Drosophila melanogaster: one gene and its partner. Changing the gene in region 1 together with any one later gene gives a genetic interaction. Each region holds a gene or a part of one and is shown in the gene's direction. Other genes may lie near its edges.

The links.
Region 2: of Hr4 (region 1) and grim, changing one suppresses a phenotype caused by changing the other (phenotypic suppression), as found in Drosophila melanogaster (one study listed by BioGRID).

Annotation. Positions count from the first base shown.
Region 1 is NC_004354.4:1,939,984-1,945,499, forward strand, and holds the start of Hr4 (hormone receptor 4), read left to right. Parts: upstream 1-1,956; 5' UTR 1,957-2,021; exon of another isoform or gene 2,022-2,443; 5' UTR 2,444-2,881; coding exon 2,882-2,910; intron 2,911-5,516. Other genes in the region: CG3587 (uncharacterized protein), read left to right, coding at 404-668, 727-1,073, 1,141-1,428. UniProt on the Drosophila melanogaster protein: Coordinates growth and maturation by mediating endocrine responses to the attainment of critical weight during larval development.
Region 2 is NT_037436.4:18,301,658-18,306,174, reverse strand, and holds grim (grim), read left to right. Parts: upstream 1-1,757; 5' UTR 1,758-2,075; coding exon 2,076-2,492; 3' UTR 2,493-3,456; downstream 3,457-4,517. UniProt on the Drosophila melanogaster protein: Activator of apoptosis, independent of rpr and hid, that acts on the effector Dredd.

The DNA of each region.
Region 1 (5,516 bases):
TGACTAAATTTAAATCGGTTTGAACACGTTCGTGGGTGTCAACGCTAATACATTGTTTCGCAGCACTGGTATGTACATAACCATCGCAGATGTCGTGGAAATATAGCTAAAAAGCGAAAAATACGAAATTAAGGACAACATTTTTAATTTCAGACGCAACAATCGGCTGGCCCAACAAATAACGGTACACAAGATTATCCACTTTTTTTTATCACAATTGCACTGGACTTATAGCCAAATATTTTTAATCATGAGAAGTGAAAGGCAAGCACATATCTAAATCTAGCTCGAAACCAGATGGATGCTCATCTTGCACACTGTCACCAGTGTTGGTAACCGAGTGCATTGTGAGCGGAACGTTCCGACACCTACTTTGTTTATTTATTGTTATTAATTAGGAAGCATGCCCCTCGTGGTGATTACGGGCCTGCCAGCCAGCGGAAAGAGCACACGTGCCCGCCAGCTACGGGATCATTTCGTGGAGCGCGGCAGGAAGGTGCATCTAATCAGCGAAAACGAGGCAGTGCCCAAGGCGGGTTTTGGAAAGAATTCCCATACAGGTGATTCGCAGAAGGAGAAGGTGGTACGTAGCGATCTTAAGTCGGAAGCCTCGCGTCACCTTAACCAGGAGGATCTGGTCATCTTGGACGCCGGGAACTACATCAAAGGTGAGCTCTCACCAAGGTTCAGCTAAGGTTCGTAAACCACAACCAAAATTTCTTCCAGGCTACCGCTACGAATTGTACTGCATGTCCAAGGTGTCAAGGACCACCCAGTGCACTGTGTTTACCTGCATACCCCAGGAGGAGGCGTGGACCTTTAATAGCCAAAGAACGGCGCCGGATGAACTGCCTGGCGACAGTGAAAGAGTTCAGCCGGTGGACAACTCGGATGTTCCCTACACCAGAGAGACTTTTGATGCTCTGTGCCAGCGCTACGAGGAGCCGCAGAGCAACAACCGTTGGGACAGTCCGCTGGTGGTAGTCTTGCCCAAGGACACGCTCGACATGGAGGCCATCTACAAGGCCTTGTACGAGTCCCAGCCACTGCCACCCAACCAGAGTACTTATAATGTAAGCGTAGAGCTTGGCCAGAGTTGAAGACAAAATATCACAAGTAACTGCTTTGTCCATTCCGCAGGCACCGCTGGGAACAACCAACTACCTGTTCGAACTGGACAAAATCGTGCAGGCGATCATCAAGGAGATCCTCGGCGCCGTCAAGATCAAGGCCTTCGGCCAGCTGCGCATCCCAGGGAGCAGAAATCCCGTGAAGGTCGCCACTTCGATGAATGCCCTCCAGCTGAACCGCCTGCGCCAGAAGTTCATCACGAGCACGTGCCACGCCAGCCAGACGTCACCCACTCCGCTGGAGCAGGTGCCGCACTTGTTCGTGCAGTTCATCAATGCCAACACGATCGGCTGCTAGCACTGTGATTGCGACAAGACAAATGCTAAAATAAAGTTCTTACCTCGGGCAGCAGGATAATGTTTTTGGGCTGATGTTGACACAATTTAATGTGGAAATCAAATAAAATATGTAGCTTAAATACTAATATGAAAATCGTTTTTGATTATTATTATCACTATGGATTAATTAAGTTGACTCTTCTGGGTTCTTGTGGCGTACTTAATTGCAGTGCATTTTCTGCTTATTTATTATTTCGTAAGGAAAACAATACATTTTTGTTTGTTCAAAGTGAGTTCAAAACTACATGAAATCAATAAAAAAAAATTTACGTATTTCCATTTGAATTTAAAAAATATTTTCCTTCGCCTATAAAATCTACTCTACTTACAGCGAAAAAAGTTCAGTGAACGAACTTTTCTCTTGCGCAGCGGGAACGAAGAGAACCCTCTCTTGAGCGCGCTCTTCGGGCGCTCTCTTCCAACGCAGCGCTGCAGCACGAGATTGGGGCAAGTGGAGTGGTGGTGCCAGTCGGTGGTGGATTGTTCAGTGTATCCCACGAGCTAGTCGCGCGCGGAAAGCAAACGCTTCGAAAATCAAACGATATTTCCGTTGTGGGTTCCCAAGAAATAAAATAATAACACAAAACGAAATAACTATTTTTTTACGTTTTTTTTGTTGCCTCTCCAGGATTTTGTTGACCATCGTAGATTGGATATGTGAAACAAATTTTAAGGGCCTCCACTTTCTCTATCTCGCCCTAGCAGCAAGGTGCACTGTGTGTGTGTGCGACAATTTTACAAGTGCAACATGAATAAATGCAAAGAAAATTTTTTTTTTAATTGTTGACAACAAGAATTTGCAAGCATCTTCAAAGATCCAACAGAAAATTGGCTTGTTTTTGTTTTGTGTGTGTGTGTACGTGTGCGTGCGTGCGTGTGTGTGTGCGGCGCAAATATAAAAAAAATGCATAACGACACCTTGGCACTGACGCTATTTTTTTAATTCTATTTTTTATGTGTGTGTTCCGTTGCAGTTGACGTTTAACCCCCACCCACCCAAATAAAGCAAATCTAACTAAAGAGTCCTGCAAAAAAATCAACAGCTGCTTGATCTTGAAGCCTCCATATCTTGAAATCCTGCATCAGCCAACAGCCCCAAAACAAAACAAAACAAAACGAATGCAAATACACTAATGTGAACAACAACTAAATTGCTAGTGAAATGTTTTAAGCCAAATGCTGTGAGTGTGTAACAAAAAAAAAAAAAAAAAAAAAAAAAAAAGAAGAGTGATTCAAAGCAACCGCAAGCAATCAACTTGTAACGGTAGTCGGATACTCGCTTGCCCGCGGAGCATGGATATCGCCCCAGTTCCGCCACCACCATTATCGATATCCGTATCGCTTTCGGCTCCAGGATCAACGGTATTCGCAAACGCTGGCCACTAGAGAAGCGTCAGCCGAATGCCTCAAAGATGACACCGCTGCAACGGGACCAATTGAAGTGAGTACCACTAAGGATTCTCTCTAGCATTTAAGAAGTGCGAAATACATTCGCTTGGATTATCGATAGGACTAGGGAGGTTTCCCACACTAGATCATATTAGATCATGTAGATAGTGCAGACCGTTAGAATTAGAATTCAAGGCTCTGGCCATAAATACGAGTAACATGTACATTTCGCCAAATGGCGCAACACTTTAATCACTGACCAATAATCCGGGTGATGGCATTATAATTGGCCTACGGCTGCGGGGTTCTACAGCCCCATAGAGCCCAGCTGGGCTTAAGTTCAGCAGTTTAGGAGGCGCTTGGGCTTAGTCACCGCGCCTTAAAGTTCACCAAAAGGGGTGGGAGGTGGAGCAGCAGCAGCAGCAGAAGCACATGTTGGCCGGTTCGTTGGCCTGGCCGAGATATCTCGAAATAAAAAAGTTCGAGCTCGAGTTCGCCGCTCTCTGTTTATGAATGAAACGCAACGAGGAAGCGCGCGCAAAACTCAAAGCCAAAGAGAGAGGCAAAGAGAGCTGAGAGAAATGGCCAGAGAAAATGGAAATGGAAATGCGGAACAAAAACAATGAACGTAAACGTCTCTTGCTCTCTCTCTCTCACGCTACCGATGGCGAGTTCATCGACCTTTGCTATTGAAATTTTTGGGAACGCACTCACACACAGATACGAAACACGCACACGAACACAAGCATGTATGCGAGTGCTGCTTATTTACACATTGATAAACAATCGTTGATGCTGAATGTCGATGACTACGATTTTAATGCCGCTAAACCCCAATTATATTAAAGGCTTGCAGATGCCCTTTCTGGCCAAGTTTCCATATTGTATGTGAAATGATGTTCGATTTGCGATAAACCAAACACGCAAAAAACGCGACCGCAAATAAAGGGTTGTTCGCGTATGTTTATAATAGCTACCTTCTTAATTTTCTTGTTACATTTTTGTAAACAAGTATTTCGAAGTATTTGAAATATTTGTAAGCTATCAAAAATTATTTAAAATTATGTTGTGTCTGACTCCTGTTTGTGGGAAGGGCATCGAAAGTGCGGCGACATTTGTGCCACCCATTTATTGGCTGGTTTCTTCTTCCTGATTGCGATGTGTGTGTGCTTGTGTGTGTGTGTGTGTGTGTGTGTGTGAGTAGCGGGTGGGTTGGCAAACGCACGATAACAACGCCTAGAACTTGGGGACTCTCCGCTTGGCACGGGAAGCGAGGGGGTGGCATCCAGAAATGGGGACTGGGGCCATTGGGCATTGTTTTGTTTCTGCTCCCTGCTTCTTCGCATTACGACTGCCGCTTGTTACCAAGTCCCAAATGACTCTACATTGCTATATGTACATGTGTGCCTGGGCGCAGGGGAGTAGGCGGCAGTTGATTAAGGGGATTTTAGATCCCAGGACGAGTCCTCGCAGCTCGGACATTCTCGGGAATAGTAAAGGCAACAAAACCTGGCTAACTTCAAAGGGTTCTTGGTTCGGGGTTCCTGGGCTTTTTGGACTTTTTGGGGTCTCTGCACCACAAAACTTGAATCCCCTTTGCACGCCACTGGAATTCTTGTGCGAGTGCTGTATCTGTGTGTTCGTGCGAGGTCAATGACCAAAAATGTAGTGACAAGGGCGTCAGAGTGATTCCAAAATTTGTGTATATTTCGCCATTACAGCAAAGAAACAAGGAAGAGACCGTAAAAAAGGGGCAATGCTTTATTCTGGTTTTGTGTCTGTTTTCTCGTTGCTCTGTTGATGTTTTTCGTTTCGGGTATTTCTGGAGAAGCAGTTAGAACTTACCCTGTCCAGAGCCACAAACGTTGAAACCTTCAAAATCGGTTTCAATGTCATGTAACCCCCGTTTACATGGCTTACCCGTGCGCGAAAGAGACAGACGGACGGCAGGGGTGGCAAAGGTTTGGGCAACGCAAACGCAATCACACGTACGTTGGGCGCCCAATTATGGGAATATATGTATGTACATATGTATTGGGAAATGCCCATGCAGGCAGGAATCCGGGAAACCGAAAACCAATGGCTTTCAATCCCGCATCCCGAATTCTGACAGCTGTCAAATGCCGAAAGCCATCTTAAATGGCACACTTGCGGTGCGAAGTAGATTCCAGTTTTGGTGTTTGTCTTTAGCTGCTTCAAATATTCAGGGTTGTCGAAATGGAAGCTTAATGAAGGGATTTACCCTTCTTATATTTTACAACAAAAAAAAACACTGTTTCGAACTTTTCGCTGTGTAAAAATTTGTGTTGCATATACACAAGTGAATACGTGCGTGGCTGTCGTATTTGTTTCATTTCCTTTTGTTTCGATGCCTTCGATTCCATTTCGTTTCGCCTTGCATTTTAATCAATGCCAATGAACTTGAAGTTTATTTAGCGCGTACTCAATATCTCCCCTGGGATAAGGTGCATTGCCCACTTGAGAACTCCACAAACCTGAGAAGTCGCAACGTTAGCGTAAACACGCCTATCAGTTCCGTGTCCATCCGTTCCGCTGGATCGTCGTTCCATTCCCCGTTCCCCGTGGCCCAATGCCACTCGGTTCACAGTTGCTTGATCCCCATCGAATCTCGGGCTAAGTTGAAAGGAATGAAGAGGA
Region 2 (4,517 bases), on another chromosome or scaffold:
TTGAGCTTGACATTTATATATATGCCAGAATATAACGACCACGTGCTGTCAACTGTGTCAGGAAAAGCTCACCCACACTTTCTTTGGAGGAGCTGTGCTCCCTAAACGAATTTCATTGTCAAGGTCGCACGCACAAAAATGAAGAGGAAAAGCTGAATGTGGGTGGAAATGCCGGCCGGCACGACCTTGAAGCCAGTTGGGTGAGAAATAAAAAGCTTTTGCCGGTAGGAGACTTGTGGAACATCACCCACAAGTGGCGGACTTGGCCTTGGCGATGGCCTTGTTGGAGCTCCCTCAGCAAAAATGTTACATAGGGGGAGGAAATAAGCTCAATTGGCTTTATGCTTTCCGCTCCCTGGAAGTCCTTTTCTGGAATGTTAAAGTGTTAAATGACATTTATTGAACATTTGGGACAGAGGAGGAGATAATACAATATACTTGTCTAATTAAAAAAAATCGTTATTATGATTTATTCCATATGTAAGATTTTAATTCATCATGATTGTAAATAAATTATATAAAACAAATTCAATAAATTTACATTATTGATAAAATTTATTTTTTCATGAAATTATACCCAAAAATTATTCTCAATTTTTCTTATAATCAGTTTTGCATAAGTATACTTTCTTCATACCCCTCTACCACAGCCACTGCTTTCTTGACTTTGCAACTATCCGGGAACAGCTTATCATAATGGATGAGCTGCAGCTAACGGAAAATGGGGGAGCTGGGATCAAACATTTTCCAAGGTTGAAATTGTCGTCAGCATAATGTTTGAGGGAGCTGGATTCGCGTTAGCTTGAAGGTCAATCCATTTGGGTGCCCTTTGTTATGGTCAAGTTTAAGGCTGCAATAGGGGGAATCTTCAAGGACCATTACGCAAGGTTTTCGCATCAAAGATTTGCCGTGCAAGCTTTTTGAGTTGAAGGATGCTTAACTTGAAAGCGGGTTAGTGGTTCCAAGAGATTTTAGGTGAAGGAGACTCCGCTGTTTTGAAATATATTAAGTATGTAAAGAAGTATACTATAAATAACCCAAAGTGATACAATGTAAGAAAAGATCTCGTTGGTCCCTGGTATAAATTTGTTTGCCATTAATGAATATTGAAAATAATAATTATACTAATAATAGGTACAATAAGCAAGATTAAATTGCATTTAATCACCAAAAATCAGTTTCTATGCGAACCAAAATGTCATAACAAACAATTGTTGATTCATCCGTAGTGAAATCCAAGTTCGAAATTCGAAATGAGCATACGACGACCAAACTTCCCCTCAAAATTGCTAGACTCAGCTAGAGCAAGTACGCCCAAGTTAACCCCTGAAATTCGAAATGAATTCGATGCCGCGCTTCGAACAACGAAATCCCAAAGAGCTTACGTTTTATTTGACGTAGCACTCTTACGTGAAATGATTTTCCCCAATTCCGCTCTCATTTCCCGAGTCTCTCACCGCTTCTCAGCCACTTTCCCACCCCCTTTCTAGTTCCGAAGTAAAGGTAACAAAGGCAGCCGTGTCTTTGGGGTGGTAAACTGGCGGTGGTGGTGGCACATTGTCAGTGGTGTGGGTTCCTGTGGTTGGTGGTTCAATTGGTTGGTTGTTGGCATAAACAAAGCACACACACAATACACACAAACTCCCGGGGGGTGGTGGAAATTGGGAGGGTGACATTCACTGCGAGAGAGGAACTCGCTTCCTATAGGAAAGTACAAAGAGAGCTATTTTATAAATGTGACTGCAGCAAGGATATTTACAGTCAGTCCACTCTGAAACCTCGACGAGAGAACATTGAATAACAAGCGGAAGCGAAAAGCGCAGTTGAAAGTTCGTCAAAAAGCGACAAGTTTCCTCGTTCGTTTTCCCGCCAAATGAGTCAGAAAAATTTTCCAAGTGCTCGATACGAAACATAAAGACTTACAAGACTTAAAGTGCAAGCAGTGAATGGAATATATTATTCCTCAGCGATATTGAAATCAAACATTAAAAATATATGCTACACTAAAGTTATATATTTTTTTAAAGATTCATACGTTTTGTAAAATCACATTTTGTATTAAATTAAATACCGCCATGGCCATCGCCTATTTCATACCCGACCAGGCCCAATTGTTGGCCAGAAGCTATCAGCAAAACGGCCAGCAGACAGCAGCGAGTCCAAGGACAACTGCAACAGCTGCTGCACCATCGCAGCAGCAGCAACAATCGCAACAACAGCAGCAGCAGCAGCGACATCATCATCAGCAACAGCGCCCACAATTCCGTGCCAATATTTCCGTGCCGCTGGGAAGTCAACAGGGATCGATGACCATGTCGGAGTTTGGATGCTGGGATCTTTTGGCCCAGATCTTCTGCTACGCTCTGCGAATCTACAGCTACAGTTCGAGCCAGCGTCAACCGACGGTCATTCAGATATCCTTCGAGATCAGCAGCGGCGGTCAGAACAACGATGAGGACGACGTGACTGATGCCACCTCCAAGGAGAACTAAATTTGGTTTCCATATTTCATCCTGGTGGAGAGAAAATCTTTGGGATTTTCTGGGAAAGGCAGGCTCAATCAAAGCGCATTGTGATTTCTTTTTTGGGTATGGACACATGAGGAGGAACGAGTTTTGTAAAACATGGGATATTTCCACAACAAAATAAGAAAACTATTTTTAAACTATTTTTGAGAGAGAGAAAATTCAAAATTTGTCATCGACTTGCTTAAAGTGATTTTGGTTGTTTGTTACTTTTTTGGATGTCAAATTTTCCGATATAAGTTTTGAAAAAATGTTTAATTTTGCAAGCAAAGGTTTCCCGGTTGGTTCAAATACATAAACATACTTAACAACATTTAGAGAGCATAAAGAGAAATGTGTAAAATTGTCATAAACCTTATTAGTGTCTATACGTATGAGCAAAACCACAAGTATCGTACTCAACTAACAAATAATTGTCAAATTTTCTACTTCAACTACTTCAACTACATTTCAACTACTTACAAATATAAATCGTAAACTAATATTACAGAACTACAATACAGAACCAACAACAAAACAAAGATGCAACCGCAGCAACAAGAATAACAAAAGACAACAACTCAATTGTACAAAATAGATTTTAAGCAAACAGCAAATTTTATATGTTTACAACAAAGAGAGAAAATACAAAACGTCTACAAAAAATAGAATACAAGAACCGCCGAACAGAATACATTTTAACAAAAATTAAACAAAACAACAACAAACATTTAAGCAATTTTGATACGAATAATCAAGAATAACAAAATTTGAAATGTATCTTATCATTATTATTGATTTTAGCAAAATTCAAAACATATTATTTTAATTTTGGCATTGCAAATTAAACAAGAAATATTGAAATTAATCACATGTAAAGATAGCATTTGTAAGAAATTAAAATTTTTATAAGACAAACAAGCAAAAAATAAATACAATTTTATAAAAAATTAAAAAATACTTTGAACGATTATTATTGTCCCTTTTCAGAAAAACATAAAGAATTTTACCAACACCATTGCCGAGATATATATATTTAATTACCTTTTATTTCGGAGGTGTAGAACTCTATTAAAATGTTTTTGAAAAATTATTCGAAGCGTTTTTAAAATATTTTAAAAATAAACTAAAACGTTTTTAAAATAAATTCAAAAGAATATTTATTTGTTTCACCAAAGTTTTTATAAAAAAATACGTCAAAATAATATGAAATTTTGTTTAATACACTCTTTTAATAACCGCTTATGAATTAAGCCTTTGTATTCCATTTTGGGCAATGAAATGGCAAAGGATAACCGTCCTGCCAGGAAAAGGCGGAGTAAGCAAACATTTAGCGATCGCTATCGTCAAAACCAATATGTCACCTTAAAAGGGAAAACACATTTTTGGTTAAGGGCAGACAGAGAATTTTCCCGTCGTGTCATGCCAGGCACACTCCACCCAAAAGGGTTAAAAAGCAAAGGTGACGCTTAACCGCAGATCCCAGTTTGTGCCACCAATGTCCAAGTCATCGGGCTCGGGGTCAAAGGGAAAAAGAGGAAAAGGGCAAAGGGGGTGTACCCTTTAGCAAGCCCGGAAACCCATTTAACCCCAGAAGTGGAAAAAGTGTAACATCTGTGGCAGCAAGCGATCAGCGGCGCCTGATAAGTTCGCCAGTCAAATAATAATTATGCAAACATTTCGGGCCGCTAATTTGCCGCCTATCTTAATTTAAATCGCTCAAAAGCGCACTGGAACCAGCGCACAAGAAATTGTTTAATTGTCGTGACATGACAATAAGCGACCTGGAAATTAGGGTCCTTCGCTATCCTTTTTTTTCGCGTGTGGCTTGATTTTTGGCGATGATAAGCAAGGGGGAAATTATAGGGTATGCAAATGCTCGCATAGTGTCAGTCGCGTGTCCTGGATCAAGTTTTCATTCGGGTTCGTTTTCCACTCAAATTCCTTCTTAGCGCCTGCAATTATGCTCGGCGGAGAGACAGTTTATGATAACATATTTGTAGTTAATTTAGT